Linked DNA regions of Bombyx mori. The protein of the gene in region 1 purifies or fractionates together with the protein of each later gene. This does not show direct contact. Links are inferred from orthologs where the notes say so. Each region holds a gene or a part of one and is shown in the gene's direction. Other genes may lie near its edges.

Evidence for each region.
Region 2: the proteins of cleavage and polyadenylation specificity factor subunit 1 (region 1) and pre-mRNA 3'-end-processing factor FIP1 fractionate together in Homo sapiens (co-fractionation; 8 studies listed by BioGRID and IntAct, with this or other methods). This does not show direct contact. The link is inferred for Bombyx mori from reciprocal best matches to the Homo sapiens genes CPSF1 and FIP1L1.
Region 3: the proteins of cleavage and polyadenylation specificity factor subunit 1 (region 1) and symplekin fractionate together in Homo sapiens (co-fractionation; 5 studies listed by BioGRID and IntAct, with this or other methods). This does not show direct contact. The link is inferred for Bombyx mori from reciprocal best matches to the Homo sapiens genes CPSF1 and SYMPK.

The regions. Positions count from the first base shown.
Region 1 is NC_085134.1:8,450,045-8,453,706, reverse strand, and holds part of cleavage and polyadenylation specificity factor subunit 1, read left to right. Parts: intron 1-1,063; coding exon 1,064-1,278; intron 1,279-2,174; coding exon 2,175-2,321; intron 2,322-3,479; coding exon 3,480-3,552; intron 3,553-3,662. UniProt on the Homo sapiens protein: Component of the cleavage and polyadenylation specificity factor (CPSF) complex that plays a key role in pre-mRNA 3'-end formation, recognizing the AAUAAA signal sequence and interacting with poly(A) polymerase and other factors to bring about cleavage and poly(A) addition.
Region 2 is NC_085121.1:13,340,086-13,342,829, reverse strand, and holds part of pre-mRNA 3'-end-processing factor FIP1, read left to right. Parts: intron 1-653; coding exon 654-840; intron 841-939; coding exon 940-1,083; intron 1,084-1,607; coding exon 1,608-1,678; intron 1,679-2,313; coding exon 2,314-2,440; intron 2,441-2,744.
Region 3 is NC_085124.1:2,856,349-2,860,010, reverse strand, and holds part of symplekin, read left to right. Parts: intron 1-430; coding exon 431-2,016; intron 2,017-3,662. UniProt on the Homo sapiens protein: Scaffold protein that functions as a component of a multimolecular complex involved in histone mRNA 3'-end processing. Specific component of the tight junction (TJ) plaque, but might not be an exclusively junctional component. May have a house-keeping rule.

The DNA.
Region 1 (3,662 bases):
AGTTCAGGGACTCGCGCAACAATGATAGCCAAGCACTAAGGTGCGCGTGAATGAAGTGAAACTTCTCGTTCGATGTGTACTATTTTGGTTTTTTTTTTCATTTTTCATCCTTAAATCAGATTGCTCTTGGGAACGCTGTGTATAAGAGTTGCGGCAACTTCAACATTTATATTATATATTTACTTAATACTTCATTAAAATATTGGCCGCTACTCGTTGCTGACACTCGCGCTGGCCTGTAACAGGTATACTGAGCGCGTGCGCTCGAGTGCCACGCGTTCACTCTCGCTCTGTCTCTTTCTGTTTCATGGTAGCGTTAAACGTTTAACGCAACCTTTGTTGGAAGTCTTATTAGAAGTGTCACTTCAAAAAATATATCATAAATTGTCACTGGCAAGGACTAAGTTAAGTGGTTACCGGAGCCCTTAGACATCTACAACGTAAATACCGCCATCCACCTTGAAACATGAGTTCTAAGTCTCAGTTTTGCAGTACAACAGCTGCCATACCCCTCAAATCGAAACGCATTACTGCTTCACGGTAGAAATAGGTAGTGGTACCTACCCGTGCGGACTCACAATCGTCCTACCTACTATGCGTCTAAAGAAGTTTCACTTCAAAAACAATTAAAGTTAACGGGGCAATCCTGTAACATCTTTACACATTCTTTGTATAAAATATACATCAATCAAAGGACGCAATGTATACAGCTTCTTACTCATCCATGTAATAAATAAAAATCTGAGTGTTTATGTTTTACTGGTGGTAGGGCGTCTGGTGAGTTCGCATGGGTAGGTACCCCCACCCTTTCTGCCGTGAAGCAGTAATGCGTTTAAATTTGAAGGGTGGGGCAGCCCTTGTAACTGCACTAAAACCTTAGAACTTATTCTCAAGGTGGGTGGCGCACTTACGTCGTAGATGTCTATGGGCTCCAGTAACCGCTTAACACCAGGTGGGCTGTGAGCTCGTCCACCCATTAAAGCAATAAAAAAAAATCACTAAACAATTTAGTTGTGTTATATGAACTCTCCTCCAACGCCCCTGCCCCTCTCCCGCCTCGCAGTCGTCGCTCCGCATCTGCGCGCTGCCGTCGCACCTGTCGTACGACGCGGCGTGGGCGGTGCGCAAGGTGCCCATCCGCATGACGCCGCACTACGTCACGTTCCACCTGGAGTCCAGGACCTACTGCCTCGTGGCCTCCACCTCGCAGCCCACCACGGTCTACTACAAGTTCAACGGCGAGGACAAGGAGAAGTCTGCCGAGAACAAAGGGGACAGGTATGCGGTGCTTCAGATCGGGCAGCCTTTCTTATCTCCTACCTGTGCTGCTTCGCCCTAACGTGTAGGTGAGCTCACGGGGCTCAAACCGGAGTGTTTGTTGCTAATGTGGCGGGTAGCCATCATACAACGCAAGATATTCGACAGATGCCTGAATCTCGCTCACGACATTTTCAAGATAAGTTTGCATATATACAAATTTCAAACAACAACATCCGGACCGTCGGTCTATCGAGCAATATTACCCGCTCGGTGGAAGATCTTCCCTTTGTCGTTTAAGCCTCTCACACTGGAGTTTGGGGATGTTGGGGATCCCAAATGTCTTAAGTATATGTAAAATTTTGTCATTAGTAAATAATTGTAAATCGACTTTTATAGTATGAGGTAGCGCCCTCTGTGAATTGATATTTTAACTTCACGTATAATCCTAAATTAAAATTCACTACAAGTGGTTTCATACACACGTTAGTTAAAAAAATCTCATAGATGGCACTGTATTAAAAAAAAACACTACGGACTTATTTTTTCGTTTCATCAACGATTCTAAAGAAGTTTCACTTCGAAGTACAAAATAAATAAATAAATATTTACTAACAATCACGCCACGTTAACTGGTCCCGTGATAAGTTCGTAAAGAACTTGTGTTACAGGTACCGGATAACGGATATAAATGTAAGATTTTTATTATACACATATTTAATATACATCCATAACCCTGGAAAAGACATTTATATTTATCATACAAATATCTTCCCTTGGCGGGATTCGAACCCGCGACCCCCTTGTGTAGTGACCATGTCACTTACCACTACACCAGACGGCCGTTTGAAAATGAACACGTTTCCTGTCGACACGCTCCAAGCGAAGAGCTCGTCTCATCAATGTTACGATTCCAGGTTCCCGTACCCGATGCTGGATCGCTTCTCGGTGATGCTGTTCTCCCCCGTCTCCTGGGAGATCATACCGAACACCAAGATCGAGCTGGACGAGTGGGAGCACGTGACGTGTCTCAAGAACGTGTCGCTGTCGTACGAAGGAACCAGGTAAACGTTTTGCTGCACAACAGTAAGGCTAGAGTGTAAGTAGGCAGCGGCTTGGCTCTGCCCCTGGCATTGCTGAAGTCCATGGGCGACGGTAACCACTCACCATCAGATGGGCCGTATGCTCGTCTGCCTACAAGGGCAATAAAAAATTCGCTTGTCTGAAAAGTCGGTTTACTGACGATAGTTGAACGTGACAACGTCATAAGACAATACTGATGGAATGGTTTCATTTTTCAAAAGAACAGATGTCGAACGCTGCCGAACGCGGAGGCCGATTGTGCGTCTTTGTCGTTCGTTGCGCGCTCTCGCTTGCACTTCAAGCCTTAAATGGAACGTCTCAGAGCGAGGTAACGCCGCATGAGTCATGTTTTTCGTGCGTGCAGCCGGTTCCATCGAATTATAAGACGTTGTCACGTCAAAAAAAAGTGCTCATCTATATATTAATACGTGAAGCAAAAACTTTGTACCCCTTTTCACGAAAATTGCGCGACGGACAAGTATGAAATCTTTATTCATTGAAATTCAATTTGACATCTGATCTGATTCAATTTCAATTTCATTGAACATTGTTTTTTTTTTAAATTATGCATATAATATACATGAGGTCAATAAAAAAAAAAGCATTAGACACACTACCATGTACTTGACACAGACACGCATAAATACTCTTTTGTTTATTGCTTAAGTCTGTGGTCAAATTGAGAATAGATTAATATTGTTTGTCTATAGTGTAGTCTTAGCGAAATTTGTGATTATAAAAGTATAATAGTCTTTGACAATAGAACCATTAGAAGAAGACAATAGAATAATTTCGACTACTGGGGGACCCTTTAATATATAAATTATATAATATAAAAATGATTTCTGCTGTTCGTTAGTCTCGCTAAAGCTCGAGAACGGCTGGACCGATTTGGCTAATTTTGAGTCTTGAATTATTTGTGAAAGTCCAGAGAAGGTTTAAAAGGTAGATAAATTTTACGTTTATTTTATACAAAAGTTTCTTTTACTTATCGATGGAGGCACTACGAAGTCTGCCGGGTTAGCTTGTATAAAATTAATAAGTAAAAAAAGAATTCGATTTATAAAGTTTATATAGAACTCTTATCACAAAGCGACACAACGATCGTAGTGTACATCTTTGTTTTTCTCTTGTTCTAGATCCGGTCTCCGCGGTTACATAGCGATAGGAACTAATTATAATTACAGCGAGGATATCACTTCTAGGGGGCGGGTGAGTTTTTATATCCACAATCCACTCGTCATTGCAATAATTGTTACGTTATAATACTCATTGTAAAAATGATTATCTAAAAAAAAAACTAATATTAAAAAAAAAAAAAT
Region 2 (2,744 bases), on another chromosome or scaffold:
CAAACCGAAACGCATTACTGCTTCACGGCAGAAATAGGCAAGGTGGTGGTACCTACCTGCGCAGACTCACAAGAGGTCCCACCACCAGTAATTACGCATATTATAATGCACAATGTTATTCCCTCACGATGGAAGTCAATTGTGAACATTTGTTAAGTACTTATTTCATTAGAAAAATTGTTACCCGCCTGAGATTGAACACCGGTGCATTACTCAACACAAATGCACTGGACGTCTTATCCTTTAGGCCACAACGACTTCGTAGTGTTAGTAACTATCTACAGGTTGAGCCAGTGAGCTCATTTAATGTTCATTGAGTAGCTTGAAGCCCATAAGCTCAGACGAGGTCCTTAGCCAACAATGAATATTTTGCTAAAATTATCTGAGTTGGTGCAAATTTTAAACTCATTGTTCTGTTTTAATGCTGATACATGTTATACAAGAAACTTGTAATGTAAAAAATCATCTAAGCAATCACCTAGCACAAAATAGGATTCCCTGTACTGTGAGAATTGGAAACTGATGTACACATACATACATAGTTAAGTCTAAATAAATGCAAAGAGCCAAAAAACTTATTGATCACACAAATATCTGAAAGAACAAGTTGTGTTCCTTTTTCATACATAATTGGGGACTATTTACAATTTCAGAGGGGAGTTGGCTTGGTAGCTTCTGCAGGGGGACCTGAGAAACCTCGTTCAGTAACTACAACAAGTGGAAAAGTGACATTAGAGGACTTGGAGGGGCCAGGAAGTATTAATGGAGTTCCCGCTTTGGAATTCAATATTGATACTATAGAAGATAAACCTTGGAATAAGCCGGGTGCTGATATATCAGGTTAATATTGTAATGAATTGATGTGAAATCCATCTGTCTTGTATGGTTATAAAAATAATCAATTACTACAGTCTTGTCCAATCCATTTTCGATTCACAGATTATTTCAATTATGGTTTCAATGAAGTAACATGGAGTGCTTATTGTGAGCGGCAGCGACGAATGCGAATCAACGAAACAGGTGTGGGAATGCATATGGGATCGGTTCCCCGTCCACCAATGCCAGACATGAGGCGCCCCCCAAGTAAGATTAATACATTCTTAACTTATTTAATAATATTTAATAGTATGTAATATAAAATGTTCATTTAATTTTTAAATTGTAATTTTGTTCATTTAATTTGTAACCCAAAAATCACTTTACGTATAAAAGTATATCGACGCTTGAAAGGCAAACGTGACTAAGCGACAATAACTGCTTTATACATAAATGATAGGCAATAATCATATTCGATGCGCAAAATATATATTTCTATGTCTATTAAAATTATTTCAATCCTACAGCTAGATTCATTAAAATATAATTTTTTTCGGGTATTTTTCAGGTATATTTTAAATTAATTTCTACTTTAAATTAGTCTTCTGTAAAGTTCACGCATTGTCGCTTAGTCACGTTTGCCTTTCAAGCGTCGACATGAAGATACTACTCACGTAAAACTACTGCAATGAACGTCAGCTACTAGTAAACCATATGCCCACTGGCCATTTGCTTGTTGAACAGTTTGATATGCAGAATTCAGATATTTTTATAAATTTTCTGTTTTACAGACATTAGACACGATGATGGAATACCACCTCCCATGACAAATAACTATCAGTCCAGAGAAAACACTATTCAGGTACAAATATGTTATTTAATTGAAATCGATGGGTGAAAAGCTATTACGCTTAAGCGACATTTCACTTATTACGCGAAATTTATCTTTCTAATGGTGCGTTTTATTAAGGATTAGTGTTAACAGTTCAATGTTTTTAATTGAACTTCAATTAAGTTGACTCCATTCAAATAACTGAAGAAGCGTTCTTGTTATGATATTTTTTCAAATATTAAGTTTTAAATGGCTCTTCTGTATTTTTTTATTGCCGTATAGGCAGACCAGCATAGGACCCATCCGATGGTGAGTGGTTACCGTCGCTCATGGATGTCAGCAATGCCAGGGGCAGAGCCAAGCCGATGCCTATCTAAAGTTGCAAAATTTATCGCTTAATAGTCTTTCACCCCTCTAAATATTTTAATAAAATACGAAGAATTTTATCCCATAATGCATAATGACCTACTTAAATGATAAAACCTAATGATCTCTCAACACTAGTCCACAACATCTGTTCACGACTTAACCTAACCAAATCTATTTTAAAGAGGGGAGAAACTGGAAATCGGTAAGGTCTTTGAACCTAGTAAACACTTCAGCTCTTTCAATGAAATAATTTTTTTTATTAATATTATAACAATACATTGTATTTTGTGGTTTAGGTGATGACAGCGGAGCGACGTGAGTACGGGCGCGGCCACCCCCGCGAGATGCCGCCGCCGGAGTTCTTCTCTGGGCCGCCCACTGACTACTACCAGCCCCCGCACGCTACATATGACGAGCCATGGGGTACATATACTTATACTTTTACTAGCGACCCGCCCTCGCTTCGCTTCGGAAGTTGTAATTTATTATTGATTTCTCCACTATTTAATGGATGTTATTATACATATAAAACTTTCTCTTCAATCACTCTATCTATTAAAAAAAAACCGCATTAAAATCCGTTGCGTAGTTTTAAAGATTTAAGCATACATAGGAACAGATATAGGGACAGAGAAAGCGACTTTGTTTTATACTATGTAGTGATTGGAAATTATTAGTAGAGTTCAACATAATATGCTCGGCTAGGTGATCCCAACTTTGTATTACG
Region 3 (3,662 bases), on another chromosome or scaffold:
ATTGTGTTTAAAATATAAACTCCGTAATTTGCTTAATTCAGAGTAGTAAGGCGTTTTGTTAGTCCCTACAGGTATATTACATGTATATTTTTTGTGGCAAAACAGTCTCAAGTTCTATTAAGCGAGATAGCCATCATACGATACCATTGAGTCCCACATTTTGACCTCATATCTTAAGGTGGGTCATCAGCATTTTGTTGACCACGGGACCGCCCCTACTCTGACCGGGTTCTGACCCCGGGCGGTAAGAGTGCAGGGGAGTCGTTTAGTGCGGTAGGGCTCATCAGCATTCAAATTATGTCTATAATGACACCAGATTAGGTGTGAGATTGTTTACCATTCAATAGCTACTTTTTATTGCAGACCCAAAAATATTAAATAAAAAATTATAATGTTAGCTTAATTTTATTTTATAAACCTTATTTTTCAGCCATATCTTCAAACTACTGGTCAAATTTCATAATTCACAGCACATATCAAGTGTAAACCTGATGGCTTGTATGACAACGCTATGTTCTTTAGCAAAATTCCGTCCTAAATACTTGCCCCGAGTCATACAAGCACTAGGCGATCTTCACACGACACTACCTCCAACTCTATCGCAGTCTCAAGTCAATTCAGTCAGGAAACATCTCAAAATGCAGATATTGAATTTAATAAAACAATCAACTTCTAATGAGATGATGCCGCAGTTGACACAATTGCTAATTGATATCGGAATGACAGCACAAGAGATTAATAAGGCGGTACCGAAAGAGAAAAGAAACAAACGCTTAGGGGAAATTAGGAATGGGGATACACCATCTAAACGGTTCAGAATCGATTCACCTCAAAGTAATAGTCAAGGTAGCGACAGTAACAGCCGTAGTGAATTCATGTATGACGATGACAGCCAGTCAAGCATCACGAAGCCTTCGGCAACAGAAGACAGTATCCTCGAAGGCTTAAATTCTGTGGACAATGTTGTTAATCTTGTCATGAAAACATTGCAGAATTGTCTACCAGATAACATGCCGCCCTCGTTCACAAATGATTACAAGCCAATACCTAACTCTGGTAGCAAAGTACAAAAGAAGAACTTGGCTAAAATGTTGATGAGCTTAATAAGAGGTGAATCAGAAAATACACAAATAGTTACACAATCAATGGAGGTAGATACACAACCTAACCAGACAGTATTACAACAGAGCTTATCCGATATAGCTGCGAAAATACCGTTAATAAGGGAAGATGATGAGAAAACTACCCTCAAAAATGCTGTAGCTAAATTACAAGAGTCAACAAAAGACAGGCAGATAGAGAGTGCGGTTTCTAAACTAATGGAAGAAACGAGACAGGAACATTTGAAGGAGGAAGAGAGGAAAGCAAAGGAGAAAGAGAAACCGGTTCCTCCACCTACTCCGACGGTGCCTAAACTGAAACAGAAAGTGAAGCTATTGAAACTACAGGAAATAACACGGCCCATCCCAAAAGAAATAAAGCAAAAGTTGATACTGCAGGCCGTTGAGAGGATTTTAAATGCGGAAAAAGACGCCGCTATCGGTGGAGCCGAACAGATCCGGGCCAAATTCATCACGATATTCGCTTCGAGTTACACGCCGGAAACGCGCGATCTAGTACTGAATTACATTTTAGACAATCCCGCCGAGCGCATCAACCTCGCTTTGAAGTGGTTATATGAAGAATACGCATTCATGCAGGGCTTTAACCGACATCCGGTGACCCTACAACCGAAACTGCACGAGAAGCACGATCAAAACTACAACCAGTTGCTCTGTGCTCTGGTCACCCAGATATCCGAGAGAGGCGACCCTGTCATGGAAGGATGCAAAGATGTTTTACTAAGGAAGATATATTTGGAGAGTCCGGTGATCACGGACGAGGCCCTGGATTATTTGAAGCACTTGGTCACTGAAGATCAGGTGGCTCTGCTGGCTTTGGAGTTGCTAGAGGAATTGTGTTTGATGAGACCACCTCGGGCACACAAATATGTGACATCGTTGGTCTGTCATGTTTGTAAGTAACTTATTAACTTACTAATATTTATTACTTCCGGGAAGGAGACCAACCTGGACAAGGTGGAGTTGGCTTTCTCGTCAATAAAGTCCTCACGGGCAACATTGTAGAGGTATCCAGTGTGTCGACACGGGTAGCGTACCTCATAATTAAGCTCACCGAAAGGTACTCCCTTAAGGTGGTGCAAGTATACGCACCGACTTCGTCATACTCGGATGACGATGTGGAGTTTGTGTACGACGATATCACCAGGGCTCTGCACAATACCACAAAAGCCCACTTCAATGTTGTCATGGGAGATTTTAACGCTAAAGTTGGAGTACAGACTTGCGACGAATCGGTGCTAGGATCCTTCGGTTATGGATGTAGGAACCACAGGGGGCAAATGCTAGTCAACTTCCTTCAGCGCGAGAGGCTCTTTCTAATGAACTCGTTCTTTGAAAAGAAGCCACAAAGAAAGTGGACTTGGCTAAGCCCCGACACTGTGACGAAAAACGAGATAGACTTTATTATGACGGACAAGAAACATATATTCAGGGATGTCTCTGTGATCAGCAGGTTCAATACCGGTAGTGATCACCGACTTGTCAGAGGCACACTGAATATGGACTTCAAGTTAGAACGCAGCCGTCTAATAAAGTCTACGCTTCGACCCAGCCTACATCACATGGCTGTAGATCCGGAGCAATTCCAGCTAGATCTCCACAACCGATTCGCTGCCTTGGAAACCACCACAGACGTAGACGAGGCCTTAGATGGCGTGGTGAGGACACTGAGACAAGAGGGACAGAGATTGTGTCCAAAGGGTCGTACAGGCAGAAAATCAAAATTATCATCCGAGACTCTCCGGTTAATGGAAGAAAGGCGAGAAAACACACAGGCCACACAATCAGAGAAGATGGCTCTTAGTAAGAAAATCAGGACGCTGATACGACGCGATCTCCGACGGTACAATACTCAGCGGATCAATGACGCAATTGAGCAAAACCGAGGAGCCAAGGTGTTCGTGCAGCGTCTTGGTAGAAGCCACCTTACAAAACTGACCACAAGGGATGGCCAAATTCTCGCCTCCAAACCGGAGATTCTCAAGGAAATTGAGGACTTCTACGGACGTCTCTATATTTCCAAAACCACCAAGTCTGCCTCTGACCCAGCAGATGTCCGAGCCACACTATCTCGCCACTACACCGACGAGCTGCCACAGATTAGTGTGGACGAGATCGGGATGGCTCTTGAAAATCTTAAAAACGGAAAAGCCCCGGGCGAGGATGGTGTTACTTCTGAGCTCTTGAAAGCAGGAGGTCTTCCTGTTATTATGGAGCTCCAGAAGCTCTTTAACACTGTCCTCTTTACCGGTAGAACTCCAAAGGCGTGGAGCAGGAGCATAGTTGTCCTTTTCTTTAAAAAAGGAGATAAAACACTTTTAAAGAATTATCGCCCCATCTCGCTCCTGAGCCACGTCTACAAATTGTTTTCGAGAGTCATAACGAATCGTCTCGCTCAGAGACTTGACGACTTCCAGCCTCCGGAGCAGGCAGGATTCCGAAGAGGATTTGGTACCGTGGACCACATTCACACAGTTCGGCAGATTATACAGAAGACTGAAGAGTATAATCTGCCACTATGTCTGGCGTTTGTGGACTACG